3 linked regions of the Arabidopsis thaliana genome follow. The protein of the gene in region 2 interacts with the protein of the main gene of each other region in a pairwise test. Each region holds a gene or a part of one and is shown on either strand. Other genes may lie near its edges. The genes, in order: PDH-E1 ALPHA, MAB1 and E1 ALPHA.

The links.
Region 1: the proteins of MAB1 (region 2) and PDH-E1 ALPHA interact in a two-hybrid assay, tested with the Arabidopsis thaliana proteins (one large-scale study listed by BioGRID).
Region 3: the proteins of MAB1 (region 2) and E1 ALPHA interact in a two-hybrid assay, tested with the Arabidopsis thaliana proteins (one large-scale study listed by BioGRID).

Annotation. Positions count from the first base shown.
Region 1 is NC_003070.9:44,505-53,528, forward strand, and holds PDH-E1 ALPHA (pyruvate dehydrogenase E1 alpha), read right to left. Parts: upstream 4,801-9,024; 5' UTR 4,663-4,800; coding exon 4,432-4,662; intron 4,349-4,431; coding exon 3,571-4,348; intron 3,479-3,570; coding exon 3,201-3,478; 3' UTR 2,730-3,200; downstream 1-2,729. Other genes in the region: AT1G01080 (RNA-binding (RRM/RBD/RNP motifs) family protein), read right to left, coding at 999-1,055, 1,142-1,450, 1,540-1,641, 1,869-2,285; AT1G01100 (60S acidic ribosomal protein family), read right to left, coding at 5,780-5,833, 5,915-6,127, 6,379-6,450; IQD18 (IQ-domain 18), read left to right, coding at 7,735-7,842, 7,930-8,226, 8,434-8,679, 8,980-9,024. UniProt on the Arabidopsis thaliana protein: The pyruvate dehydrogenase complex catalyzes the overall conversion of pyruvate to acetyl-CoA and CO(2).
Region 2 is NC_003076.8:20,684,231-20,695,609, reverse strand, and holds MAB1 (Transketolase family protein), read right to left. Parts: upstream 6,368-11,379; 5' UTR 6,080-6,367; intron 5,945-6,079; 5' UTR 5,940-5,944; coding exon 5,898-5,939; intron 5,777-5,897; coding exon 5,714-5,776; intron 5,124-5,713; coding exon 5,043-5,123; intron 4,957-5,042; coding exon 4,930-4,956; intron 4,832-4,929; coding exon 4,769-4,831; intron 4,665-4,768; coding exon 4,578-4,664; intron 4,366-4,577; coding exon 4,240-4,365; intron 3,873-4,239; coding exon 3,739-3,872; intron 3,650-3,738; coding exon 3,577-3,649; intron 3,477-3,576; coding exon 3,411-3,476; intron 3,231-3,410; coding exon 3,192-3,230; intron 3,105-3,191; coding exon 2,980-3,104; intron 2,883-2,979; coding exon 2,768-2,882; intron 2,685-2,767; coding exon 2,634-2,684; 3' UTR 2,140-2,633; downstream 1-2,139. Other genes in the region: AT5G50860 (Protein kinase superfamily protein), read left to right, coding at 1-289, 529-756, 913-1,013, 1,118-1,244, 1,506-1,832; AT5G50840 (alpha-taxilin-like protein), read right to left, coding at 6,871-7,002, 7,099-7,194, 7,295-7,351, 7,529-7,711, 7,820-7,886, 8,127-8,191, 8,714-8,791, 8,890-8,957 and 3 more; AT5G50830 (nuclear polyadenylated RNA-binding protein), read right to left, coding at 11,061-11,225, 11,303-11,370. UniProt on the Arabidopsis thaliana protein: The pyruvate dehydrogenase complex catalyzes the overall conversion of pyruvate to acetyl-CoA and CO(2).
Region 3 is NC_003070.9:22,047,214-22,056,855, reverse strand, and holds E1 ALPHA (pyruvate dehydrogenase complex E1 alpha subunit), read right to left. Parts: upstream 5,724-9,642; 5' UTR 5,489-5,723; coding exon 4,810-5,488; intron 4,724-4,809; coding exon 4,644-4,723; intron 4,277-4,643; coding exon 4,199-4,276; intron 3,799-4,198; coding exon 3,703-3,798; intron 3,599-3,702; coding exon 3,473-3,598; intron 3,397-3,472; coding exon 3,331-3,396; coding exon of another isoform or gene 3,319-3,330; exon of another isoform or gene 3,297-3,318; intron 3,241-3,296; coding exon 3,196-3,240; 3' UTR 2,971-3,195; downstream 1-2,970. Other genes in the region: AT1G59910 (Actin-binding FH2 (formin homology 2) family protein), read left to right, coding at 1-1,272, 1,369-2,689; SNL5 (SIN3-like 5), read right to left, coding at 6,186-6,362, 6,454-6,568, 6,657-6,817, 6,896-7,048, 7,156-7,294, 7,372-7,460, 7,543-8,163, 8,380-8,888 and 2 more. UniProt on the Arabidopsis thaliana protein: The pyruvate dehydrogenase complex catalyzes the overall conversion of pyruvate to acetyl-CoA and CO(2).

The sequences.
Region 1 (9,024 bases), on a different chromosome or scaffold from region 2:
TGCGTTTTAGGGTTTGGGCCAATAAATTCAGCAATGAACCGGTTTTAATGGCATTAATAGCCCATAGTGAATGTTGCAATCAAGAAATAGTTATAAAACCATGTACATGGGTGATATTTTTAGATTATCACAAGTACAAAAATTATTTTTATATTAGTAAAGCAATTAGAATATGCTTATCAGTATCAGCCCACTGATATTTGTGATACCAGTATCATCTGACGTGGCTTCTTCTGATTGGTTACATTTGACAAAAGCAAAAAATATTATATATATTTATTAAACAAACATTATAAATAATACTAAAAAATATTCTTGATGATATTTTGTGAGTATCACCTATGAACATGCTCTAAAGATCAATATCTTAAAACAAATTTAGTGATATAATTAATTGAAAAAGTTTGTATTTTCTGGACTGAATCACACTAGGGTTTGTGTGATTTCTGGTGTAAGAAGGTAAAAGGAGGTAGTTATCAGATGGGCCCACTTGAAATCATTTCACTGGGCCTAAACAAATATAAAGCCCATTTATCATTTATGGCCTTTTTCAGTCTCCTCCCGAGATTTAAAACCCTAGTTGGTTGATCTTCTCCAACGGGGAATGGAATCGGAGAGTGACGAAAGTCGTGTGTGGATCCTAAATCCTTATTCGGGTCTCCGAATCGGATCCTCGGAGTTAAGCCTTACAAAATGAAGATGCTAATGGTTCTGTTTTCTTTATTTGGAACCTGAGTATTGCATGCACACCAAGTGTTTGGCAAAATGTTAGAGTGAGACGACAGTTGGGGAGGTTTGACGATTATCTTTCATTTGTAGAGTAGATGAATCGAAGAAGAAGATCGAAAAGAGAATTATACAGGTAGATATAATGGGTGATAAACAAAATCGAGAAGGATATAATATGTAAAGGTTACTTGTCGAAGAAATCAGAAGACATTCATTACACATTGTTTGTGTCCAAGAGATGTCTTTGCAGCAAAAGCAGAACAGTTGGTTTACGACTCACTCTTCTCGATACCTTCTCTGACGATGATTCTGCGACCTTCATATTGCTGCAAAAGAGAGATTGTGATAAAGCCAGAGAGCAGTAGAAGAAGTTTCCTCAAGCAAGATTCTTTTTATGGATAACGAACTTAACTGTTCCATTGAATGATAAAGCCGCATCACGTTCTTCACCGCTTGTAAAAGAAAGAAAGGCAAAGACTCTGTTTCTCCCGGTCTTACGATCATGTAACACTCTCGTGCTTACGATTGTGCCAAACTTGCTAAAGTGGTTTCTCAAACCATCAGGCTGTGTGAACCAAGGGAGATTTCCGACATAGACCTTGTGTTGGCTTTCGTACATCAGAATCTTCTTTGGAGTTGAGTTCAAGACTTCAGGGTTTCTTCTTGTTCCTGGATTCATGTCAACAGAGTACCTAACCCGCATTTCCCGACCACCTACTTCCTTCATATATAGCAACAAAACCAAAGCACTCAACTTTACACTCAACCAGAAGAAAGATAGACTTGTTTTTTGGTTTCCCGGGCTCTTACTGTTCCATCAAGAGAAGCAATGGCGATTTTGGCAGAGTTTATAGAACCCATTGTCACGTACCCGCTTCCACGGCTCTCTCCCGTCTGAGGATTTCGCGATACCTGCAACATCATTTCCAAGCAATGCACACCTCTCACTATACTTGTCAATCATCCATATACTCAAAAGAGTAACCAGTACGTTTGATTCGTCTTGATGGAACTCAAAGCTAAGTATTTTCAAATTACATTGTGGATGATCTTTGAATTTTCAAAGCTAAGTTGAAAGAGTAAAACTTTGAATTTTCATAAAGGCATTGTAGGATCAATCAAATCTGGATAAGAAGTACCACCTCTACAGAGATTACAGTTCCAAAAGGCTGAAACATGTCAAGAAGCTGAGCAATGTCGTAGCTTCTAGGGATATTACACACGTAGAGCTCGCAAGGTCTCGGTTTCTTTACTGGTTCTGCTTTGGAGACGACACTATCTTTATTGGGTTCTGCTTCTCCTTTAACTACTTCTTCTTCTTTTTCTTCATCGAGAACTGATAATTCTGAAGAAGAGACCTTGATTTGAAGTGGTTGAGCTACAAAGGGACGAGAAAGAGAAGAGTGATGAAAAGAATTGGAAGAAGAGAATTGAAGTTTCAGAGATTCTAAGTAAGAGTAAGAAGAAGAAGAGATTAGGGTTTTGTATTTGGGAATTGCATTGTGAGACGATCGAGAAGAAGAAGATAAGGGAATTGCGAAGCAGGAGGCCGCCATTATCGAAGGACCAGAAAGTAAATTATTTGAGAAGAATGATTAAAAAAAAAAGAAATGAAATAGAAATTAATAGAACAAATCGGGTCGGGTCATTTAACCCGTTACAATCCTGCTCGGTATTCGCTACGTCAGATGAGACACTCTCTTTCGCGTAGCAGGTTTTGTTTTTCATGAAATAAACAAAAGGCCCAAAGTTATAAATCAAAAAATAAAAAATTATTCAAACATTTTCATTTCTTCAAGTCTCTTATTCCCTTTACCAAACACTTTAATTACAAAGAAAGTAGGAGCCATGAAATTAGAACCAGTGCAATCTTGTCTAATGGCCCATTCATCCTCAATCTTCATTCTGACCACTACATCTACAACTCCTTGGCTCTGAGGGAAGGTGGTAGTGATAGAATCTGCTATGTTTGAACTCCCTCAGAGGTTTGAAGCTATATTTTGACCCAAATGATCGTTATGCAAACCACAACACTGTCTTCTTTGATCTTACTATGAAGAAGTCTGCAAATCTTGAGGTTTAAAGCTATATTATAAGCAAGCTATGCAGAGATGAAGCAAAGAGGAAAAGAGTTTTCTGTGCTGTGGAAGCTGTATTGGCATGTATTGTTCTTATACGAGATTGTGTGTAATTGGTGGTACTGGCTCCTGTTGCAGAGCCCATCTTGTTTAGAGTGTAATCACCCGAGGTTGCAAAATAATTATCTTTAAAAAAAAAAATACAATTCTCTGGTAAGTGGTAACCAATGAAAACCCAACGAACTACAAGAAGAACCTTGTGATAGTTTAGTAACACCAAACAAAAAGCAAAAAGTGCAAATGATTCAAACTGATTCTCTGTAGCATTTAACTTAATAAGATATATAGAAACATCGAAGAGACAGTAGACAGCTTATGGTTAAACTTGTCTTCTCAGACTTGAGCTGTGCCTTCGGTAAACTTGGGGTCCTCACATCTGTACCGTCCATCAGGTCCAATTCCAAATCCTTTTGGATCAGCAAACACATTCTCTAGCAACTGACTGCGACCGGGCTGTGGACTAGCGTCTGCAAACTCAACCGCTTCCTCCACCAACTCGTCTATCTTTTTCTCTATTGACTTTAGCTCTGCTTCCTTTGCAAGCTTGTTCTCTATCAAATACTTCTTCAATGCTGCGATTGGGTCTCTAGCCGCGTATTTGGCTTTCTCAGCTGCAAAAAAAAATTCAAATTAAAGAGAAGGTTGTTTCAACCCTTAGATAATCAGTACAAGCATCAAGAAGCAGAAGGAAGTCGATATTTACCAGCATCACGGAGCTCATCGGGATCAGCCAAGGAGTGTCCTCTGAATCTATAAGTCTCACATTCAACCAAGGTTGGACCTTCTCCTCTTCTAGCTCTAGTGACAGCTTCTTTAGCGACTTCCCTGACCTTCAAGACATCCATACCGTCAACATGAACACCAGGCATCCCAAATGCAGGACCTTTCTTCCAAATCTCGGGGTCAGAAGTGGCTCTCAAGTGAGACATCCCAATGGCCCACAAGTTATTCTCGACAACAAAGATAATAGGCAGTTTATAGAGAGCAGCCATGTTGAGACACTCGAAGAACTGTCCGTTGTTACAAGTTCCATCTCCGAAAAAGGCGACAGTGACATCATCACAATCCTGTTTCAAGACTTCCCTCCTGTACTTGGAGCTAAAGGCAGCACCAGTGGCGACAGGAATGCCTTCACCAATAAAAGCAAAGCCACCAAGCATGTTGTGTTCTTTGGAGAACATGTGCATGGATCCACCTTGGCCTCTGCAGCATCCAGTAACCTTGCCGAAGAGCTCGCTCATAACAGCACGAGCAGAGACACCTTTGCTGAGGGCATGGACATGGTCACGGTAGGTACTAACGACAGAGTCAGACTTGGTAAGGAGCTTGATAAAGCCAGTAGAAACAGCCTCTTGGCCATTGTACAAGTGAACAAAACCAAACATCTTGCCTCGGTAATACATTTGAGCACACATGTCTTCGAAAGATCTACCTAGTATCATATCTTCATACAACTCCAATCCTTCCTCTTTGGTTATCAACTATTTCAAATTACTTAAATCAATACAACAAATCTCACAACTTGTAAAATTCCAAAAGAAGGAGACGAGGAGAGGAAGCGTACCAGGCTGGTATTATTGGTGGATTGCTTCTCCTTGACAACTTCCTGGACAGAGACGACGGGAGATCGACGGGTGGCGTTGGAGTGATTGAGTCTGCGAAGGGAGAGGGAACGGGTGGATCCGAGGAAAGAAGAAGGAGGAGCCAATCGGATCGGGAGCAAGAGACGATTCTCATGGGATCCATGCAGAGGAACCGTGGCAGTGAGCTTAGTGGGAGCGAAAGCCGTCGCCATTGCTATCAATGGAAACCCCAATGAGATTAACGGAATTCGGAAAAAAAAAAAAAAAACTTTCTGGGAAAATAAAAGAGAGCAGAGATGGGCGGAGAGAACAAGAGATGAGAGGCAGAGGAGGCAGACGATCCCGGCTCTAAATACTTATATATATTTTTATTTGTTTGTTCGAAAAATATTTAATCAATTTTGGACCCACCCTTCTTCGTTAACACCAATGTTTTTTTCTTTCTTTTCATTTCATCTCTTAATTTCAAGATCCGATCTACAAATATAATCCTTGTTAAGTATGCTCAACATAATTTATTTTCTTCTTTAACTCGAATTGGTTAATCAATAGTGGAATCATCAAATTAACAAAATGATCTGAACAAATTCAGGTGAATAACCATAAAATTCTAACCATTTAGAAATATGGCTTTTCAATTGAGTTTTAAGAATAGATCCGTTTTCTTTAAGATTTGTATATAATCCCATAAATCTTTTGTTATCAGGTAGAGCTATAGATGCAACTACTTTTGACTCTAAAAGAAAGAAAATTGAATTTAAAACCTAATTCCTACCGTTACTACTAAATTATTATGAAACATATTTAATCCTCTAAACAACATTTTTTGGTTTTCCTATTTCTCTTACGAAAAATCCCATTACTTTTTTATCGTATTTATCCTTATCTCAATTTCATCAAATGGAATGTATGACAATAGACGTACAAATGTTATGAAGACGCTGCTGGGTAAGAAGAAGAACAAACACTAACATGTTCCGATAATAAAGGCATTGGGCCGGCCTAACATTACTGCAAAAGCCAATTTTATTAAAGACCTATATTTGATGACAATTCTAAATATTGTATGACCGGATTTAACATTTATGGTTTGACGTTTTCGAAATTAAAGACCTATATTTGATGAACGAAGACTTGGTAGAAAATAAACAAAATCAATTCTAACAAAAGCCCGAGCCGATTGGTTTGCTAGGAAACTTGAGTTATACAACATACGCATCATAAACCAACTAATAGTCCTTTAGCCAGATCAAACAAGTAATAATAACTCATACGACAAAATATAGTCTCCAATATCCAACTACAAAGAAGAAAGACAAGTGACTGCGTTTAGTCAAACAAACCGAAACCCAAATCTCCGTCACTCTCTTCTGCTGGCTCATCCTGCAATACCAAAATGAGATCAATTTTATATCACTTATTAGTTAGAAGAATGATTTCGTCTATCGTTGCTATTTCATTTACCTTCTTCTTCTCCTCAGCAGCAGGAGCAGCTGCCGCACCACCGCCAGCAGCTGGAGCAGCAGCTGCAACCGGAGCACCACCTCCACCACCAGCACCAACGTTCATGATGAGATCAGTCACGTTACGTTTCTCAGCCATCTTGGCGAATAGCATTGGCCAGTATGACTCAATACTAACACCAGCAGCTTTCACCAAGGTCGCGATTTTGTCAGCCTATCAACGACATAAACAAACACAAGTAAAGATCTTTACCCAATTCAAAACACATTTAGACAGATACATAAAATACTTGTTCAATTCCTGACCAAATAATACTATACCAAATCCTTATCACTCCATAAGAATCATTTTCACTAAGTTTCTAACTATCAAGTCAAAAGAAACGGTTCCAAAACCCTACTGACTAAAGCAAAGAGACCAATCAAGATTTAGAAATAGACAAGCAGGAGTCAAAGGAAAGATACCGTGATAGCGATACCCTCGTCCTCGAGGATCATAACAGCGTAGCTGCAAGCAAGCTCTCCAACTGTCGACATTTTTTTATCCTGAAACGATTCAAAAACAGTAACAATAGATTAATTGCTTATTCACAAAAAAACAAACTTTAAATCCGTTTTAAACCAAAATTAGAGTAAGTCGAACAACCCAGACGATGATGAAATGCCAATAACAAGTATAAACGGATCAAATGGAGAATCATAGACTACCTAAGAGTAAGATCGAAAATGCTTTTCGCAAGGCGGCGAGAGAGACAAAATTTCTAGGGTTTGGATGCGGAGACGGGAGATGCAGAGTTTATAAAGCTTTTATCCAATTATTTGATGGGCCGCATAAATATTCGCTAGGCCCATTTTTTAATTTTACATATATTTGTTTTCAGTATTGGGCCTTCAAACCTAATAGCCGTGAATAAATAAAAGATAAGAGCCCAAATTAAGAGATTTGACTTTGACCAGAAATTGTTGGTTGGTTTCTAGGGAACGACCACCGTGGTCCATCATGCATGTGACAGCACGAGCTTGGTCAAGCAATACTTGATGGATGTCCTTTTCGCACTAGTAACATAATTCTTCATTTGACATATTTATAGTCTTCAATAAACATATCATATGCGATCCAATATATTTTCATTTTTTCTTGTACATTCGTCTTGGTCCAAAAATCACGAGTTTGATTAGTTCTTTAACCCCAAACTTCACAAAATCATGTAGTTGTAGACACCAAGTTTGATTATATTTGTCAATTAATAAAAAAAATGATTTATACAATTTGTTTAGAATCTCGATAAATACTTGTTCATCCTACTACCATTCCAACCAACTTTATATAATAGTAGTAAAAATTACGCATGCGCTAAGCCAAATATTGGCATTTAGTAGAATAACAGAAAAAAAATAAATAAAAATGTAGATTATGGAGCTAAAACAACGTGCAATCTCTCTCCTTATCTAGTCTACGTATATTGTCCCGCACGGTATATAATCAATATGGACCCAAAAACGAATATATTCATGTTAATATCGATGCCAACAAAATAAATTAATAATACTATGTATTTGGTGAAAAGATAAAATTTATTAAAGAGAAAGAAACACAGTTATTGGTGTCGTGGTTGCAGTAAAAGAGGTGGTCAGACTCAGAGCAACTTCTTACAAAGCAACCAAAGGTTATCTGTACTTTCTGTTTCTCTCTCACTCCTTATTTCTGAAAAAAAAATCTACAGCTAAATACCTAAATCTCAACTTCACGGAACACCGATACATAAAGACAATAGAGTGGTAATAATTTGTTGAGACCAAAAGTAATTAAACACATTACACATGGGGAAAAAGAACGGCTCTTCTTCTTGGCTCACCGCTGTAAAGCGAGCTTTCCGATCTCCGACGAAGAAAGATCATAGTAATGACGTCGAAGAAGATGAAGAAAAGGTTTCTTATTCTTAGATCTTATTATTTGCTTACTATATTCAAAGTATGATTATTGGTTTTCATTTTTCTCTGTTTTTTTAAAAAAAGAAGAGAGAGAAGAGACGGTGGTTTAGAAAACCGGCGACTCAAGAATCTCCGGTGAAGTCTTCCGGTATCTCTCCACCAGCACCTCAGGAAGATTCACTTAACGTAAACTCAAAACCCTCTCCGGAGACAGCACCGAGTTACGCAACTACGACGCCGCCATCCAACGCCGGTAAACCCCCGTCCGCCGTAGTCCCCATCGCCACGTCAGCATCTAAGACACTCGCACCGAGGCGGATTTATTACGCAAGAGAAAATTACGCTGCTGTTGTCATCCAGACTTCTTTCAGAGGATATTTGGTGAGCAATTATTAATGACCTATATTTTTACTTTCATTTTTTTAACCAACTTGACTTCTAGACCACTTTTTAGTGACAATGATGTGTGTCTATGTCTATAAAATTAACATTGCTTATACAAGATCTACCATTTAAAAGATTGGGATTTCATTTAGATAATTTTTTTTTGGGTCTTGATATAAGTTTTGTTCTTTCTAATTTGGTAAGGCAAGAAGAGCATTAAGAGCATTAAAAGGGTTAGTGAAGCTACAAGCATTGGTGAGGGGACATAATGTGAGAAAGCAAGCTAAAATGACATTAAGGTGTATGCAAGCTCTGGTTCGAGTCCAGTCTCGTGTGCTTGACCAACGCAAACGCTTGTCTCATGACGGTAGTCGCAAATCCGCGTTCAGTGACTCTCACGCTGTTTTTGAATCTCGCTATCTTCAAGATTTGTCAGATCGACAATCCATGGTTAGTATAGCCTCCTAGGCCTTGCCTAAACTATAGCATAATCAATTGATATGTTTTTTAGTTATAGACATGTTTTGCTTTTTAGTTTATTCATAAGGTTAAGCTGTTTTTAGCATGCCTATCTAGTTCAAATGGTGCATTCACATAGGTGTGCCTTGATTATTTCTTTACTCTTAGGTATACATATTTTGTATATTTTTCAATCTTTAAGCAATTCTGTTTTTGTTAATTGTAAATTGCGTTTGTAATTTCATATGGTGGCTAACGTCTTTTGGAATTATGGTTATTTATTTGTTGTAGTCAAGAGAAGGAAGCAGCGCCGCGGAAGATTGGGATGACCGACCA
Region 2 (11,379 bases):
TGGATTGGAGCATTGCCATAGTCGAGGAGTATTACATCGGGATATCAAAGGTTCTAATCTTCTTATAGATAATGATGGAATACTGAAGATTGCTGATTTCGGGTTGGCTACGTTTTATGACCCAAAGCAAAAGCAAACAATGACTAGTCGTGTTGTCACACTTTGGTACCGTCCTCCCGAGCTTCTTCTTGGAGCTACCAGTTATGGAACTGGTGTTGATCTTTGGAGTGCTGGTTGTATTATGGCTGAGTTACTTGCTGGCAAGCCCGTTATGCCGGGAAGAACCGAGGTAAACAAAATCGTCTTTATCTTGTTTTATTTAGTCTGCTTAGGAATCTTTAGTTTCTATTAGATGATACAAATGTGTAGGCCCTGTTATTTGAGCTTGCATTATAGAGAGCAATTAATACTTCTTGGTGATTTATCTTTGAAAACCAACTGTATGATGTTGGACCACAAATGAATGTACAACCAAAAATTAATAACATTGTTGTTTACTGTTTTTCCTACCTAATTTGTTCTTTGTAGGTCGAACAACTTCATAAGATATTCAAATTATGTGGCTCCCCTTCAGATTCGTACTGGAAGAAGTACAGACTGCCAAACGCAACTCTTTTTAAGCCGCAACATCCGTACAAACGTTGTGTGGCTGAAGCCTTCAATGGTTTCACTCCATCCTCTGTGCATCTAGTTGAGACACTTCTCACTATAGACCCTGCTGATCGAGGAACTTCTACCTCGGCATTGAATAGTGAAGTGAGTAATCCTTGCCCTCCAATCTTTCAATTGTTTGACGTATGAAACTTCAAATTTTGAGTTTTTTCATTCTTTTTGGTTAGTTTGTGATCACATATTATGCAAGCAAAAGCACTTCCTGATCAAAGTGCTATATTATTTGGTTTGCATGTGCAGTTCTTTACTACTGAACCGTTACCTTGTGATCCTTCAAGTTTACCAAAGTATCCACCTTCCAAAGAACTGAATGTAAAGCTGAGGGACGAAGAGTTAAGAAGGTACTTAATTTTACATCTTTTATGTGTTTTCTTGATGCTTATGCTATCAATTAGACTGATGTGTAATCGGTCTCTTCTCGTGGCTGCATTCATTGTAATTCTAGGCAAAAGGGTCTTGCTGGAAAAGGTAGTGGTATTGATGGAGCTAGAAGAATAAGGTATCGAGGGGATCGCACTGGGCGAGCTATTCCAGCCCCAGAAGCTAATGCCGAGAGTCAAGCAAACTTAGATGTAAGAAAATCCTCATCTTATCCCATTTATACTCATGGACACGCACATAAACACACAATCTTCATATGAGCATATATATATATATATATTCCTCAACGCATTCACTAGTTTTAGTCACACTGCTTGCATCAAGTTATTGAGAATACATGCATATGCATAGGCTTATAGATCAGCTATACATGTCAATTATCTAGCATGGTATTTTTTCGTTCCAATGCAGAAGATTCTGTAATATTGCCCCTTGCTAATGTGTGTTTGCAGAGATGGAGATCGATATCACAAACAAATGGAAAGAGCAAGAGTGAGAAGTTTCCGCCTCCTCACCAGGACGGTGCAGTTGGGTACCCATTGGAAGATCTATCAAAGAAAACCTCAGTATTTGGTGCAAAGACTGAGACTTCTTTTGGGTTATCGAGATCATTAAAGTCTGGGGAAGGGACATCAATGAGAAAGATTTCAAACAAAGACGGGGCTCGTGGGGCTTCTTCTAGAAAGTACATATGGGGACTTAAACCTCCTCCAGCACTCGGGCTATCGATGGACTTACTTTTCAGGAGCAGATCAGAAGTTTTTGGGATCCGGAGATAGGAAAGATGATTGAGAAATGAGTTGGAGTTATATTAGTGCATCAAAATAAGAGATTGCTTCCGTTTCAAGAGAGAATGGTTGAAGGAGTTCAAATTCTTTGTAGCAGAATAGAGTGCACAAATAGAAAATGTGATTTTGACTCTGATGTAAAAACATAATTCAGGTAGCTTTAGAATCCTACTTTTAAATTGTATAGTTTTTGAAATGGATTTTGAGGCTTCCAAGATTGGTCTTGTGATAAGAGTGTTGCTAAAAATTGTCGTGAATAGATGTTCAAACATTTTGATTGCTGCTTCAAATATTGGAACTTGTTTAAATTCGTTTTCATCAACATTTTTTTTCCACACCAAAGCTTTTTCCTTTTTTATCCATAGGTTGATCAATAGCGTTTAAATCAAATTACAATTATATCACCAAAAGTATATGCTAAACGTCATTGGAGGTTAACTCACTAATACCGTTTTCAAAAATAATAATACGAGAATAAAAGAATATCAGACATGAATTAGGCACACCTCATTCATTATTTGATGGAAAAACAGGTGTTGTGAACTCCTTTACTAGCATTCTCGATCAATTTTTATCAATTAACCCCAAAGATTAGAATTATCAATTTGGGAAGGGACAAAAAGAAAAACGAAAACCGCTGCAGTAAAGAATAATAGCAAAAGATGAAATAAATCACGAGGAATGGTGGTTTCTTATAGCAAAAGTGAGAGACAGAGAGATCATTTTTCTCCTTTTTTCTTATTTTCCTTTCCCTTTAAAGATCAAAGAAGAAATGTGTTGATGTTGACGATTTTATTTCGATCTGTAACAAGCTCTCTTTGATGCACGAACGATGTCCTCTATCTGCAGAATCATTTCATCTCAAATTCATTAATAACAGACAAAATTGAACCAAGTTTTCGATGCAAAGAAGGGACAAAACAAACCTGAGGAAGAGCCAATCTCTCTAGGTTAGCTGCATACGGCATTGGAACATCAGCTCCTGCAATCCTCTCGACCGGTGCATCCAAGTACGAAAAGCTCTCTTCTACAACCGACGCACTGATCCATTACGGAAAAAGTTTAATCCGTGTTTTAAAACTATTATACAATCCAGGTGATAATAAGATCTCTATTGAATTAAGGAATTGAAGTTAACCAAATTTCTGCACAGACTCCATGTTGTGGGAAACCTTCTTCAACTGTTACCAATCTACTCGTTTTCCTCACTGAAGCATTGATGGTGGCTCGGTCAAGCGGACGGATTGATCGAAGATTTATTACCTAAGCATTTTAACAAAGAAAAAAGTTCAGAGTTCACGTATCAGATTTAAGCAGGTTTACAAGAGAGAAATCTAAAAATCTTCATACCTCAGCACTTATTCCCTCTTCTGCGAGCTTCTCAGCTGCCTAGAATCAGGTACATTAAATAAATAATTCAAAGACGGAACAAAGAGAAACACCAGTTTGTAAAAACAAAGCATGTGAGGCAAAACAACATCCAAAAGGAATATTTGAGCTATAGCCATAAAACTAGCAAGAACGTTCTCAGTTTTAATTACTAAAAGGAAAGTGGAGGAAATGGCAAACCTTGAGGGCGAAACCGACCATCTTCGAGAAAGTTACTATCGTTACGTCCTTTCCTTCTCGTTCAATCTGTTATAGGCAAAGACAACATTAAAGCATCCAACTGCTAGATAGAAGAAAGATGAAAGAGACACATAAGAAGAAGACAATAGATACTGAGTGACAGTACCTTGGCTTTGCCTATGGGAAGACAGAAACTTGAATCAAGGGCTTCTTCTGAAATAGGGAATGATTCACCATATCTGCATGATGAAATCAATTTAAGGAGGTACTGATATGAGACCGTAGGCTCTAATCACATGCAAGAACTCAAATTAGGAATACTACTTACAGTAACTCGTTTTCAAGGAAGACAACAGGGTCAGGGTCTCTAATGGCAGCTTTAAGAAGACCACGAGCATCTTCAGCTGAATACGGAGCAAGGACTTTCAAACCAGGAACTGAGGCATACCACGCTGCATAGCACTACAAGATATAGAAGAAAAGCTCCATTTAACATCGAGATACAGTTACAAGGCCACAAGCAGTCATAAACACAGATAACTTGTGTATCCTTGAACTGATCATATTAAACATTCTACGCCCCACAGAGTCATAGTTTCATGTGTGTGTAATCTTACTTAGAGAAACAGTTGCATGCTACTGTGATAGGAACCTTTATCTTAATCAATCAGTCAATGCCTCAATTATTTAGGGGAAATTTGATCAATGTTAAAGTAAAAGCCAGCTCCATCATCCTATATGAATATCTTTATCAGTTTAGTAGCTGAAGGTCTCTTTTGAAAGAATGCAAAGTAACAAATTATTCAATTTTTTTTGGGTGAGCGTTTACCTGAGAATGTTGAGCTCCAACACCAGCAGCAGCACCATTGGGTCCTCTAAAGACGATGGGTACATTTATCTGTCCAGCAGACATGTAATTTGACTTTGCAGCGGAATTGATGATATGATCAATTGCCTGAAAGAAGATTACTAGATATTAGGATACACATTGGGAAATAATTAGAACTTTAGTGCACTTTAATGTCCGAAAGAAGATAAAGTGTACGATAACTGGAAACATATTGCACCAGAGTGCATGATCTGAGTAACGCAACAATTATGCATAATCAAGTCAAAGAAAGAGGCAAAATGTAGTATTCAAAGAATATAACAAAAACCAACGCTAACCTGCATAGAGAAGTTAAACGTCATAAATTCTACAACGGGCTTTAAGCCAGCATAGGCAGCACCAACTCCAATTCCAGTAAATCCAGCCTAAAACATGGTTAAACGATAACTGTCAGAAATCTTCTCAATCAAGAAACATGGAAATAAGGATTGAGACTGCAGTACAAGATAATAGTATAAGAATTCCAAACCTCAGTAATAGGGGTATCGTAAACTCTCTCAGGACCATATTTCTCCAAAAGGCCTTTAGTGATCTATGAGTACATGATAGACCTCCAGCATCAGATCAGGGTCAAAACAAGAGAAATTTAACTGGAAAATATCTATTTCCATCAGGTCAAATAATTCTAACCTTGTAGGCACCTTGATATTGGCCAACCTACAATAACAAGATAAAAGATGAGATATTGATATCTGATTAGAAATTGCAAGATGAATTTATCAAACATGTTAGCTGCAACTAACCTCTTCACCCATGACAAATACTTTAGGATCAGCAGACATTTCCTCATCAATTGCAGAATTTAGAGCATCTCTGACTGTCATCTAAACAATGATTTGCACAAAAAATTGTAAGCAATATTACAATATTTTGGGAAATTCCACATACAAGGAGAAATATGTTTGACAAATATTAACAAAGACTGACGGCCGTATCAGCTTTATCAACTATATGAAAAAAAAATTGGGTTCTCGAAACGTAAATTAAAATCTAACTTAAGCTACACTTGTTGGGATTCTAAATGTCACTACACTATTTATGTGAGTCAGCTATCAATCCACCATTTTCAATGTCAGAACTAATGAGAGAAAGCTAATAGGCTTAAACATCTATGCAATGATTATCGACCCTTGCGCTTCTTGGATGCTCACAGTTTACAAAATCAAAAAACATCCAATATAGCTAAACTCGACATTTCGGTGAACACAAAAAAAAAAGTAATCGACATAGTTTGCAGAAGACAACATTAAGCTATCATCCAAAGAAAAAGTTTAGAGTAGAAAAGTGGTTTGGCAGACATTAACAGCTCTAATCATCCTAAATTGACCACAATTATCTTCCAATAGCTCATTAAAACCAAACCTGTATAATAACGCTTCTAAACCATCCGAAAATTCAATAAAAGACATTTTACCTCTTTTGCACCAGCTGCATAGCTCCTAGCAGAAACCAATGCGAATCGCGTCCTCCTAAGAGTCTGATCAAAAACCAAATTTCGAAAATCAGAAAACAAAATCCGAACCTAAAAATCTCCCAAGTAAAAATCTCAAAATCGTAATCGCACTGAAACAAATAAAAGGAGTAAAAAAGTCTCATACCGAAGCTCCATCGATGGCTCTTTGCCTCAAGATTCCCAACATTCTCTCTGATTAACAAACAAAAAGCAACAGTAATCGCAGGATCAAAAGCCCCGTAGATCTAACAATCATCGGAAATTGAATAGAGAAATCATAAATCCGGAGAAACAGAGTAGATCAACATCGGAGATAGATTTGATTACCTGAGCTTTGTACGATCTAACCACGCCGGCGAAAAAGTGAGAGACGGCGGATTAAGAAGAGAGCAGATACGACTCAAAGCGTGAGCGAAAGGGCACTGTTTTTTTGTTGTTGTTCTAAAACACAACGAAATGATTTCAATTAGCTGAATAAATGAGAGAGTAGGTCTTCTTCATCGAATTGTACAGGAGCCGTCCGATTAATATCTGCTGGTCATGATCGATGGTTGACATTTCGTTATATACTTTTTCTTTTCCAATATTATATTATTCCATTTGATGTTGTTGAAGTTTGTAAAGGAAAGTGGATGTGACCAAATTTAATTTGACGTTATACTTATTTTAATTCAGAGAGATTCGCTTTTTTTAACTAACCGAATCCATAAAGATGCAAACCGAATCATAATCCATATCGGTTTAACTTTTCTTCGGTTCAAATGGTTCGGTTCGGTTTGGTTTAAGATTGCAAAGAATCAGCTGGTCATTATGGCAGATGTTGAAGTAGCTATTCTTCTCCAAATCGGTTGTGAACTTAGTGAATGCAGAATCATTCTCTTGTGAACCTGGAGATTTGCAGAAGCTGCAGCTGAATTAACTATTATCAATTTGCATTTTGTGAGATAAAATGGACTTAGCTCGCAAAAGAGCAGAATCAATATGATGTGATATGTTTCTACATTTTAAAGTGAATTTGGAGTCTAATTGTAGTTTTGTAATCTGAAGTGCTAATTAGTTCAAAACTCTGACAAAGAAAAAAAGAGAGCAAAACACTGAATTCATAGTCTCTCTCTGTTTCATGGTTGAACAGCAGAATCAGTACTGTTAGTTTCTTTCTGTTTTCTTTCAGCTTGAAGGGATCTGCAAAGTGATTCAAGCTTGTCTTTCTGTTTCTTTGTCTTCTCCAACAGTTTCTTCAATCTTTCACGCTGTTCAAGGTCAACCAAAAGTGTGATTTTACTGGTTTCATAACCAAAATCTACAAACCCTTAAAGATAGTGAGAGAACAGACGGTTTTGTTTTACCTCTTCGACGAGTTCTATGAGAGTGATATCCGACTTCTCAGTTTTGTTTTTCAAGAATGCGTTTTCTTTTCTGAGTTCTTTGATTGCTTTTGACATCTACTCAAAAAACCAATAGAGACAGGATCAAGTTAATAAGATCACATAAATAGCACTTATGATCTTTCAAAGAACCTCGAAGGTATAAAACTGTTATTACCTTATCGATTTCTTGTTTGAATGTTTCAAACACCTCATTGCTCTTAACCAACGCGTCCTGCATAACCAAACAGCCTTTCACTTTACAGTCTTTTCATATAATATCAGTAAAAAACATATCTTAAGAGAGTATTGTATCACACCCAAAGCAAGCAATCTTATTATCTGTGATCACAGTGCATCGAGAAAACGATTAAGACTTATTTAGGAAGTGTAAAAGGGGAAGAGAGCAGACCTGGAACTGCTGGAATTTATCTCCATCAGAAGTCAGCTGCAACCGCAAATTTTTCTCAGTAGACAAAAGCTGAGAAACTTGATCTGCGTAAACTTTCATCTGAGATTGTTCATGGATGAGTTTCTCCTCGTGCTGTTTAATTTTTAAAGCAGAGATCTGTAGCTCAAGTGTTTTCTGCTTCAACTGTCCATTCGAAAATGAGATGTTGTCAAGTAGACATCGCAGTTAAGCCAATTATTTTGGCTAAATCATGCTTCATATATAGTTGGAAAAAACGAATAATTTAATTACCCTTTGCTCATGTTGTTGTTCTGAAAGCATAAATTGATCAGCCAGGTGCTTCAACTTCGTCCTTAACCTGGAGATTAAGAAACAAACCCATTGTAATTAGAATGGACCTTTATAATATGTTACTGAGCTGATACAAGCAAAGCCGTTTTAAAAGCAATACACATGTAAGAATATAGTTTCCAGAATGTGGGCGAGCATATTCATACTGTATTAACTTAAACTGCAACAAAACTATACATATATAATAAACATACTATAATTTTCCTACTCCAAATGAACATGTTATGATTGAGTTCTTTCCGCTTACATCTCATTTTCTTTGAGTTGCGTGAGGCTTTCATTCTTTTGCTCGTCCAACTTAATGCTCACATCCTATAAACAAAAGAGGATTAGGAAGGTAGAGAGCATAAGAAAAAAATCAATCAAATAAATTCTGATTTTGTTTTTGTAAGTTTTTGATGTTGCAAAAGCCTGCAAGCAATTCATCAAACTTAGTTCTATCAATCTGTAACTTGAAACCAATATGGACAATTTTCTACTTTGTTTAGTTCCAATTATTTCCAAGGACTAAATTTTAGTGTAGATCGGTACTAACATTTGCCAATGTCAGTGTAGAGAGTTTCAGAAAGAAGAAAAAGATATTGCCATGACTGTCCAAAGCATATAGCACGGAAGATTAAAGGAGATAATATCCTAAGAAAATATAACAAGGATCAATAAATGATGTGCATTTAAGATTTGCATACTTAGAAACACAAAACAAAGCTATTATCCAATACTTGTTCCTCTCTAAAACTGCCAATACCGACGGCAAAATGGCTCAAATTTCTATATTCAGCAAAGATCAAAACCCTGGGAAGAATTCACATCGAAAGAAAAATGTGTTCAACTTACCATTATAGCATCCTGGAACTTTGTCGATAAATCCGATCTTAAAGTCTGTCCCTCAGTTGAAACCCTCTTGCATTCTTCCTGTTATACAAAGGAACATTTAGTTTACACACCAAAAGGTTAGTTCCTCAAAACAAGACACACCAAGTAGAGTAAGCAAGAAGAAAGAAAGAACAAACCATTAACATTTTGTTCTGACGTTGTAACTCTCTACAAAGTGATTCAAGCTTGTCACGAACAGTAATAGCTACGGTTAAAAACAATAATGATGAGTACAGACTATAAAGCATTAAACGATGAAGGTAACACAAAACTAGTTTGGTTTTATTGATATCCTATTACCAGAATCTCTTTCAGAAAGGACTTGCTGATACTTGAGCATAAATTCCAAAAACTCTTTCTCTGATTTGAACATATTCTTTGAACCCTTACGCTTGCTCTCAACCACCTCCTGCTTTCAATATCATCAGCACACAAATCAGATACATCATCTTCAACATATATTCTTCTCAAAGCAACAAGATTGAAGAACTCATCAAAATACTGACTTGTTTTTTGGGTTTGAGTGAATCCATTTCCTTAGACAAGGTTGAATTTTGAGTTGACCCTTCTGACACTAACTCAAACAAAAAGCAAAGAAACAAACTTTAGGTTACAAAAGAAGCAAATTCCTATAAAGAAATTAAGCTTCACATTTTCACTCACATGTTTGAGAAATAGGAGGAGAAGCTTCTTTTTCTTTCTGCTCGAACTCTAACTCAAGCTTGATTGATTCTTGAATTAGGTCAGCTACTTCGTCATCTTCATTACCATCAGTTTCACACAACGGAACCGGAAAAGTTCTTGGCTTCTCTGTTTTCTCGATCGCAACAGTTTCATGGTTTGTTGTTTCTTCCTGGGTCTTGGGAGAATTGAGAGGCGGCTCTGTTGCGCCGTCGACGAATCCATCGGGTAAAGAATCGACTTCAGGGAGCAAATTCGAGTGCGGTGACTCCATTTTTTGAGTCTGGATCTGATGAAACCTAATACGAAGAAAACCCAAATATCTTACAACAATTCTGATAGGTAAGTTTAAATTTGTTCTTTCTTTTAGATTCGTTTGTAAAATTTTATTTGGTATAAAATCTTAACAATAAAACCAAAAAAAAGAAAAAAAAAATCTAATTTTGACTAAATTAAATGTTGTTCGTTGTTATTCAATTAATAACTTTAAGTGTTAATAATTGATTTCTTCATAGAAATGTTGAAATAAAGTGTTATTGGTTTTTTAAATTTGAGTATCATCATTATCACGTGACTTTGAAATTCAATTTTATTTGATTAATAAATGTTTGGAAATGATCAACTAAAGAAATGGTGTTACATTCAAGTTTGATAAATTCTTATTGATGCTTCGTTTACACAGAGAAATGTCAATTCGAACCGAAAGCATATAAAAATTTGGTCTCGCAACTTAGACCAACTTCAATAGTAATTTTTTAGTAGAAACTCATACAATTAAAAAAATATATATATTTAAAAGTTAAAAAAATATATATATGTTTTAGAAACTACATGAATTCTATATGCGGGAGGTACTCTTAGTCATTACTGACAAAGATCTCAAATTGGGCTTAACTCGGATAAACATGATCATAAACAAATTTAGTTTGAAAACCATTTTTTCTTTTTTATAAAACTCAACAAAAAAAAGTTAAAAATTTAAGAGGCCATCATTGATAAAACTTTCAACTAATTAATTTTGTCTAAATAAACTTTCAAATTATCAAATTTGAACTTGGTTATTAATTAACTAATGGTCAACGATAATTTTGTTCTGAATAATATACCGTTTTTGACGACATATTAATATAAACTCTAAAAAATAAATTAAAAATTGTATTTTAGGATTTGTAATTAAGATTTTTATCTTTCCTATTATGACTAACACTTGTGCATTCCGAAAACAAACGGAATTCACAAAGTTCAATTACTTACACCTTTTAGTGTGTTTTTTCTTCTATAATTGCAGTTTCCTATATGTTACTCTAATTTTATTTTCATTGGTTAATGTAACAATAAATTTGACATTTAGACAACACTTTTTTTATTGCACAAGTTCAATTAATTACATCTTTCCACGTGGAAAAAAGTAAATTCGTCAAACACTAACTTAATTATCCTGATCAAAGAAAGCAAAGGTGAAGAAGAAGAGGTTGTACAAATTCTGAAACAAGCGTCTCTTAAAACAAATCAAAGGTCTAAAATCGTAAGGTGGTTTTGATTATTCATCGTGATCCCGTACGTACACCACACCATTCTTACTTCAACAAATCAGTCAATGCAAAGATGGCAAACATATTTTGATCGATCACTGGCTCGATTTCTCTTGCACCAAACGAGAATGAGTGTTTCCCATGCATCCTCCACCTGCATAGCACGGCGCAGTCACATTTGCTAAATACTTCCTCGGCAATGCGATTCCGAACCTCTTTCCTCTTCTTTCTTTTTTCTCCTTTTTGACAATGCTTCCGTCCTATAGAAATACAAATATATCATTGTTAGAGATCCTCATAGATCAAATAATCAATAATGTGAATTAATGTGATTGACCACCTCTTTTATCTCTGTCGTGACGCTTTCGGTTTCCATCGACTTTCTCGCGTCTTCTACATCTTTTTCTGCAATAG
Region 3 (9,642 bases), on a different chromosome or scaffold from region 2:
CAAAGCTGTTATTGTAGATGATGAAGGATTAGATGTGATTTACTGGAAGAAGCTTCTAGAGTTGGAAAATAGCGGGAAAATTAGAAAAAACCCTAAACCTAGAAGAAGAGGAGACAAATCCGGTGACGGATTTAGAAGAACTGGAGCAGATCAAGACGATAACGATGATGGTGATGATGAAGTAGGAGATGAATCTATCGAAGAGGCGTTTTCGTTTCATGTGAAAAAATCTCAATCTGCGTCATCGTCAGGTGGTGAAATTAGAGATCAGAGTAATAATGGTGGTGGTGGAGGAGGAGGAGGAGGAGGAGGAGGAAGATACTATACTTCTTCTTCTGCTTCTCCGTCACGACCTTCTTCTTCTTCTGCATCTGCTGCTTCGCCGTCGCGAACTTCCTATGCTACAAGTGCCGGTAGTGATTATGGTGGTGGTGGTGGTGGAAAACAATCTCAATCCAAATTTCAAGCTCCTGGCGGCGGTTCATTTCCCTCTTCTCCGTCGCAGATCCATAGTGGTGGTGGCCGTTCTCCGCCACTTCCGCTTCCTCCGGGTCAATTCACGGCGGGAAATGCGTCATTTCCTTCATCAACACAGCCTCCTCCGGGTCAATACATGGCGGGAAATGCGTCATTTCCTTCATCAACACCGCCTCCTCCGGGTCAATACATGGCGGGAAATGCGCCATTTTCTTCATCGACACCGCTTCCTCCAGGTCAATACCCGGCGGTGAATGCGCAATTGTCTACATCCGCACCGTCTGTTCCACTTCCTCCGGGTCAATACACTGCGGTGAATGCGCCATTTTCGACATCCACACAGCCTGTATCGCTTCCTCCGGGTCAATACATGCCCGGTAATGCGGCATTGTCAGCATCGACACCGCTTACTCCGGGTCAATTCACCACGGCAAATGCTCCACCAGCACCGCCTGGTCCAGCAAACCAAACTTCACCACCACCACCACCTCCACCATCTGCTGCGGCTCCACCTCCCCCACCACCACCTAAAAAAGGACCTGCTGCACCACCACCACCTCCTCCACCAGGTAAGAAAGGAGCTGGACCGCCACCACCTCCTCCAATGTCGAAGAAGGGCCCACCTAAACCCCCTGGTAATCCAAAAGGACCAACAAAGTCAGGTGAGACTTCATTGGCCGTAGGCAAAACTGAGGATCCGACGCAGCCGAAGCTCAAGCCTTTACATTGGGATAAGATGAACCCTGATGCAAGCCGTTCTATGGTGTGGCACAAGATTGATGGTGGCTCCTTCAAGTAAGTATTAAAGTCTATATAATGTGGAATGTGATATTCTTAAGTACTGTATGATTTTGAGTTCTTATGCGGTTATAATATTTGTTTCTTGGGTAGCTTTGATGGTGATCTCATGGAGGCTTTGTTTGGATACGTTGCTCGAAAACCAAGTGAATCAAACAGTGTACCGCAGAATCAGACAGTCTCAAACAGTGTACCGCATAATCAGACTTATATCCTTGATCCTCGGAAATCTCAGAACAAAGCAATTGTGCTTAAATCTTTGGGGATGACTAAAGAAGAGATCATTGACTTGTTAACAGAAGGCCATGATGCTGAGTCTGATACCCTTGAGAAGCTTGCAGGAATAGCTCCAACGCCAGAAGAACAGACAGAAATCATAGATTTCGATGGTGAACCGATGACATTGGCTTATGCAGATTCTCTACTGTTTCACATCTTAAAAGCAGTTCCTTCCGCGTTTAACCGGTTCAACGTTATGCTTTTCAAGATTAACTACGGCTCTGAGGTTGCTCAACAAAAGGGATCTTTACTAACACTTGAATCCGCGTGCAACGAGCTCCGTGCTCGTGGGCTGTTCATGAAGCTGCTAGAAGCAATCTTGAAAGCAGGTAATAGAATGAACGCTGGAACCGCGAGGGGAAATGCTCAGGCTTTTAATCTGACAGCTTTAAGAAAATTGTCTGATGTGAAGAGTGTTGATGCGAAAACTACCTTACTTCATTTTGTTGTTGAAGAAGTTGTAAGGTCTGAAGGAAAGCGAGCTGCAATGAATAAGAACATGATGTCTAGTGATAATGGTAGTGGCGAGAATGCAGATATGTCTAGAGAAGAACAAGAGATTGAATTTATTAAGATGGGTTTACCCATTATAGGTGGCTTAAGTTCAGAGTTCACTAATGTGAAGAAAGCGGCTGGAATTGATTATGATTCGTTTGTAGCTACGACCTTGGCTTTAGGCACCCGAGTGAAAGAAACAAAACGTCTTTTAGACCAAAGCAAAGGGAAGGAAGATGGGTGTTTAACAAAGCTGAGATCTTTCTTTGAATCTGCGGAGGAAGAACTGAAAGTTATTACGGAAGAACAGCTTAGGATAATGGAGTTAGTGAAGAAAACTACAAACTATTACCAAGCTGGAGCATTGAAAGAGAGGAACCTGTTTCAACTGTTTGTTATAATCCGTGATTTCTTAGGGATGGTTGATAATGCATGTAGTGAGATCGCAAGGAATCAACGGAAACAACAGCAACAACGACCTGCAACAACAGTAGCAGGAGCATCAAGTTCACCAGCAGAAACTCCGAGCGTTGCTGCTGCACCGCAAAGGAACGCAGTTAGATTTCCAATTCTGCCTCCAAATTTCATGTCAGAGAGTTCAAGGTACAGCAGTTCAAGTGACTCAGACTCAGAATCTTGATAACCAGAAAAGCAAAAAAATATCATTTACATTTGTTATTATGTATATACAGAATGATAGGGGAGCTTGTTGGTAAAAATATTCATTAGGTTCTTTGAAGATGGTTCTTTCAATTTTACCTGTTTTGTTGATTTTTTTTTTTCGGGTTCATGGATTGGTTACGCCAAAGTTGAATTCTTTTTTTTTTTTGGGAAAGACGAAGAATACAAACAGAAGAAACCATTCCACTGGCCTTTGTTTGTAATTCAATTTGTTATATTATTTGGAGTGCAGCACAAAATGAGATCTCAACTCGATTGCTTGAATATTAAACACGAGACTACTAAAGCTTCACAAGAATAACATTGTTTCTCCTTATGTTTGTAAACAAAGATACAGAGAGATTAAAGTTCAGAAGGGGGGGGAGAGAGAGAGTATACAATCAGATCTTTATTCATATTCATAGATTTCTCTATCAGCCAACTTTCTCATGACACGTGGCAGTTTAACGAACAAGAGCTCCATGATCATGGAAGGGAAGCTTTGACTTCTTTTCTGTCAGGTCCAAATGACTGCCAACAGAAAACAAATGGGTCAATAAGAAAGATTAACTATAGTTTCAAGGGGCGTGGTGCAATATGAATATCTAATTAGTGAAGTACCTCGGTGCCAAATCCCTTCACATACACATTGGTAAAGAGCTCAGAAGGCTCTGGCATTGGGCAATCCTGAAACGGTACAGAGATTTTCGCATAAGGGTCTCGAGTTTACGCTTTGAAAGTAGTAATGTAACTGTTGTTTTACCTTAGCTTTGGCAATGGCGTCATCTACTTCTTTTCTAATTTCCTTCTCCATATCCTTAAGCTCTTTCTCGGTTGCTAGGTCATGAGATAGTACCAGCTTCTTTATTCTCTCAATTGGATCCCGTTCCTGAGTCATATAGAGTAGCACATAAATGTTTTGACTTTTGAGATTTCATCAATAGCTGAGTCCTCGACCAAGAAATGATTTTTCAGGTAAAGAGACTAACGAACCTGCCTCACACCAGATATCTCATCTCGGGTACGGTATGTGCTCCCAGGATCAGACATGGAGTGACCGTGGTACCTGTATGTGTCCATCTCAAGAATCTGTATAGAAGAAACGATGTATTAATGCTTCTGTAATCCATATGATAGGAAAGAATAAACACAGGAAAATAAATTGGAAACCAAAGCTACTACTTATATGAACAACAGCGATATCAAAAACACACTTCTTTGATATACACTGATACAGCGTAATTTCTATTGCAACTGCACAGAAAGAACCAGCCACCCCATCAATATTCAGCTACTGGAATGCAGTGTCCAAAAAGAGGAACTGAAGGGAAGTAAATATCAACTAAAAAATGCAAAAGGAAAGATTAATACTTCACGTCCTACAGGACAGCTAGATATTGCTCATAGCAAATTTACAAAATGCGCCAGATGAGTAAGGACCAAAGGGGAAAAAAACAAAACGTCTGATAATACTAAAATACAAACTTACTATTGGCCCCTTCTCCAACGCATGCTGCTTAGCAAATTTGCAAGCTTGTTTGACAGCAAATGCATCCATACCATCTACCTGTTTATCCATACAAACCAGCAACCGGTCAAACTCAAAAGAAAGTTGCTAACTTGATGCAGGTTACAAGAAACCTAATAAGAACAAGGTAATGATGCACACCATATCTCTGTTAACAATAGAAGATTCATGACAATCATTATCCATAAGACAGTCACATTCATCTCTAAACTGAGAGGTTATAAATGAAAGCTGAGTAGTAGTAAGTTACTTAAGACTTGCATTCTACCTGTTTCTATATGGAAACTAAGAAACTTATATCATTCAGGAAATGACACTAATCCATCTACCCAATCAAAACTTCCCTTTCTCATCTTAACAAGCCTCACACATCAATCCTTGTTACAAATAAGATTCAAAAGCTGACCTTGAGTCCAGGAACATAATCACCACGCTTGTAGTAAGATGGACTCTTAGCGGCTCTCCATTCAGCAGTTCCCATTCCATCTGCACAGATCAAATTCAATCAGATACTACGACAAAACAAACCTACAAAGAAAGAAAGAAAGAAAGAAAGAAGCAAAAATGCTTACAGTGATTGTTCTCGCAGACCAAAATTGCAGGCAAATCCCAAAGAGCAGAAATATTCAAAGCTTCAAACAACTGTCCCTGATTCGCAGCACCATCACCATACAAAGCAAATGTGACAGCCTCTTCCTTGTTATACTTCTGAGCAAAAGCAATACCACAACCTAATGGAACCTGAGCACCAACAATCCCATGACCACCGTAAAACGACGATTCCTTCTTATAGAAGTGCATAGATCCACCTTTCCCTTTAGAACAACCAGCTTGTCTTCCCATAAGCTCTGAGAAAACCTCATGAAGCGAACCACCACGACCTAAGAAAATACAGTGATCACGATAAGCAGTAATAATCGCGTCTTTCTTTGTAATCGCAGCTTCCATGCCTATAGCTACAGCTTCTTGGCCGTCGTAGAGATGACAAAACCCTCGGATTAGCTTCGCTTTGTAAAGCGAATCGGCTGCGATTTCCATACGTCGCATCAACGCCATGGTTCTGAAGAAATCGAGAAGCTCTTGACTCGATGATTCGACGGAGCGTGACGGTGGATCACATAAGTGAGCTGTGAAAGGAAGCGAAGTCTCGATTGTGATCGGAGTTGTGTCCGTTGAGATTAATCGGCTGAAGGCGGCGGAGAAGGGACGAGTGATGATGTTGGATCGTGATGAGAGGCGTGATAGAGCCATTTCTCCGCCGTTGATTCGAAGATTCTCCGGCGAATCTGTTGAAAACTTCGCGTAGGAACTGAGAGGACAATTTCAGTGAAGCAGTAGATAGCGATCCTAATATAAGAGACTCTGAGAGGATAAGAAGGTTTTCCGTACACAGCCTCACGTGAGTCACGTGACACCTGTGATAAAAGAGTCAATATATATTCATATTCTCTTAAAATCATATTATATAATCAAACTCAAATGTGATTAAAGATAAATAACCAAATGGATAAACCAAAATAAATAAATAAAACATGTGATTAAAGAGATTATTAATTTGAAAGAGAATTTAACATTAGAAGGAAAATTCAATAATTGTTCAATGAATGAATTAAAAATATCCAATTTTAGCATCATCCTTAAAAAAAAAAAAGATATTCTAACACTATACAGCAAAACTGGCGGCTCCAGCTGCAGTGTAGACTGTAGAAGATAAAAACTATGGTTGTTGCCATGTGAATCTCTTTGAGCCTAAAATGATGCAAGAATCTTTGTCAAAGACAGTTATTCTCTAGTCTCTCTCTACTACTACTCATTCTTGCATATCTCATTCTCAGCAAAGAACTTCACACCTGCACAATTTATCGTGAGTTAGAGATTATTGATGATTTGCAGTATTGATCACCACAGGCAAATAAAAGACAAGAGGGTTACTTACGGCGTTCTTGAGTTAAGGCAAGGCGACAAGTCTGCGGTTAAGACTCATGTGAAAGCGCGATATTCGTTTCTTTCTCGAGAGTTCACTACTATCAGAGGTTTTAACATTTTCAGGTCCAGTTGGATTCAGTGTTGCTTTCTTCTGCTTTCTTCTATATAAAAGATCTGCTGTGTGTGGTTCATACTTGACCTAATGAAGATTGTAAACTCTCATCAATCATATATACATGTGAAAAGAGAAAAGATTATCAGTGCAAGAGATTCACAAGAAAGTATTTTACCTTGAAAGAACTGCAAGCTATCTTACATTCAACCTCATTGATAATGTTCAATCCTTCCAAGGCACGTGACATCCCTAGAGATTCTTCACCCGGACCACTTAATTTTGCCTTGTTCCTGAAAAGAGTATGCTAAGGTGATTACTAACTGTACTACCACAACTGAAGACGAAAAAAGGTTATGCTCTAATCATTGCTTCATTCACCTTTTCAGAAATAGTCCGGGTTTCTCTTCATCACTGACAAACGAAAGAAAGTCATTCTGCAGATAATTAGCAAAACCTGGTTCCACTGTTACAGCTGTAACTTCAGGCTGATCATTCCAGCTGTTCATAAGTTGAATTCCGAGACGGGTTTGGGCAGATGACTGCACAGAAATTTGCAAATACAGATTAGTATATGGGAACATATAAACAGGTATCCACACATATCAAGAGAAGCATACATATTCAATCCTGTATATGTTCTGATCATGGAGAAGGGCTCGAGCATTCTCATGGTACACTATATCAAAGAATCTTCCTGGTTTTCTGTAGTTCTCGTATGCATATAGCTGCAGAAGCTTGGTGTCTGTCTCATCAGCTGCGACTGCGTGAAGCTGAAGCATGTCCAAGCCACTTAAATGATTAGTGCGGAGCAAACAAAAATAAAGGAGAGAGAACAGAAGCAGAGTCAAGACGATAACAAGGTAAAATGGAAGCTTACATGCTTAACAAACTTTTGAACTAGCTTGTCCAATGTGAAGAGAACATATGATTGTGCTCCGATAATAGCTCGACATTCATCTTCAAACTTTGTATTGTCGCTAGAGCCATCAAGTAAATTGTAAAGGGCTTCCATGAACCTAAGCTTTCAAATATCAGTTAGGAAATAATATTTTTTCAATTAAAAAGTACCAATGATGCTTAGAAAATAAACCACCTGGTATAAGAATCAGTAGATGTGCTATCTGGAGCTTTCCATTTCCTCTCTGAATGTATCTTTGCTGATTGTATTCTCTCGTACAACATCTGGAAAATCAGCAGAATTAGCGGTTTGGACTGAGACAATTGACATTTGAGGAACATGAGAAGGTTGTTTCGTAGCACTTACTTGATGAAGCCTAAAAAGCACATAGAGTGAATCATTCCCATAGAAAACTCGAGAATCATTCCGGGTGTCGCATTCACTTGCTTGCAGTGTCCCAGGCACATGCTTTGCAAGGGGCTTTACAGGTTGCAGATACCGTTCTGAAAATGTGAAAAAGGATCCATCTTCACCCTCGTTGGAATTAACCATCCCTCCAGCCTCATTTTCACTCTCAGCTCCTTTATGCTCTTCATCGGAAGAAACTTGGCCACCAAACTTGCTTGCTGAGACAATAAATTTCGAGGCATTTTCATCCCCTTCTGATAACTTTTGAGTTATTTTATTATCATCATCTTCAGGGAGGGCATTGCTCCTTGTTACAGCTTCAGTACCACATGCACCCTCTTTGGGTTCTCGGTCTGTATTACTTATTTCATTATCTGGTAGTTTCTGCACAGGCTCGAGCCCATTCTCTTTATAAACCTCGAAATTTTCTTGCTCGCAACTTTCAGTGGGGGATAATTCACCCTCTTCTCGCTCGACCTTATGCCCTCCCATTGATACATCACTGACCCTACTACGATTCTCTACACCCTCCATTATCAAATCGTTTCTGGTTGACACCAGTTTGGAAGGCTGGCTATCCTGTAGAACCACAAAAACAAATATCAAGGAAATATCTTTTTTCACATACAGGAATATTATGAAAACTTAAGCAACTTTCATTTATTGCCCAACAGTAAAATACGCTCTACCACCACTAGTCCAGATTTATGAACCTTTGACTATATTTACTCAGTGAAAAGTGAATACGGCCTCAGGTCAAGAACAAAGGTACTCAGGAAGAAACAATACGGTTACCTCATTAGTTATAGCTGCAACATCATGCAGTTTATCTTGCTGAATGCTTTCTCCTGTGTTGACTGGCAAATCTTGCGCAAAAGAGCTTCCTTGTATCATTGGGTTTTCTTTGTTAGGCATTTTTGGAGGTGTTAACGGTTTAAGGTTTGAGGCCATAGAACCGTCACATGTATTTTCCTTCACTGCCTCACTTGCATCATGGTGCTCTTGGTTGTCTTCGATCTTTGCAACATCTTTCATTGTCTCAATAGTTTCAGACCTAGAAGGAACGCCAAACATGGGCTCCAAAAAGGTTACCCATAGCTTCATTACTTTATCCGACTGTTCAGTAGCACATATTTCCTCACAATAATACTTGATTAGCTTATATAGGTCAGTATGAACTTTTGTATCAGTATAAATGAACTCCACATCTGGGGTGAAAGAGGGCTTAGTTCCAACAGCAATGGCACGAAGCAGGTCTTCTTTATGCTTTCTCTCACTGATATCTTTAATCTCCGCCACTAAACCTGCATTTGGGACATAACAACCAACTTTAGTCGACACAAACTTGCACTTAAATGATACAAGATATTCTCTTTGTTTCATCATTTTTTTCTTCTAACAATCAGTGACGCTTTTATATTAAGAACTCTCCCTGTAGAGAAAGAAATTGCTAATATGAAATATCCACAAAATCTTCTATGGAGCTTCAACTGTAGCCAAACGAAATGAATGGGTTTTTAACCTAAATTAGGTTCAAAGTCAAAACAAAATGAACTTGTAGTCCTGAAAGAAAACTTACCTTTTGTGCTTAAATTCTTGGAGTCCTGCTGCTTGAAATAGAAACTACGATGATCGAGTGATTTGTGATGATTCTTAGCATATACTTCAGCCCATACTTTCCTGAAATCAGCGCGACACCTAGCCCATTCTTCTTGTTTCTGCTTCAAGCGTGTTAGAATCACAGGTAAGGCGATATGAGAATTCTTCTTCAGAAAATCCATGACATCAAGCCCATAATCCCCGTACAACCGCTCAATGCATCTTAGGTTCAGCTCTATCAATTAGTCACATATAAGGTCATTAGGCAAAGTAAAAGAATAATAAACATACATAGTAACATTTATCACAGCCAGATTTGATAAGATAACTACTTGCCTGATAAGTGTTCTCTAATACAAATTGGTGTCTCTATAGAGATTGTATTGTTGTTAATCTTTTCCAGAAGACTTTCCACACGCTTGATGGCTGCACTTACAGACTCTAGTAACATGTCCAACT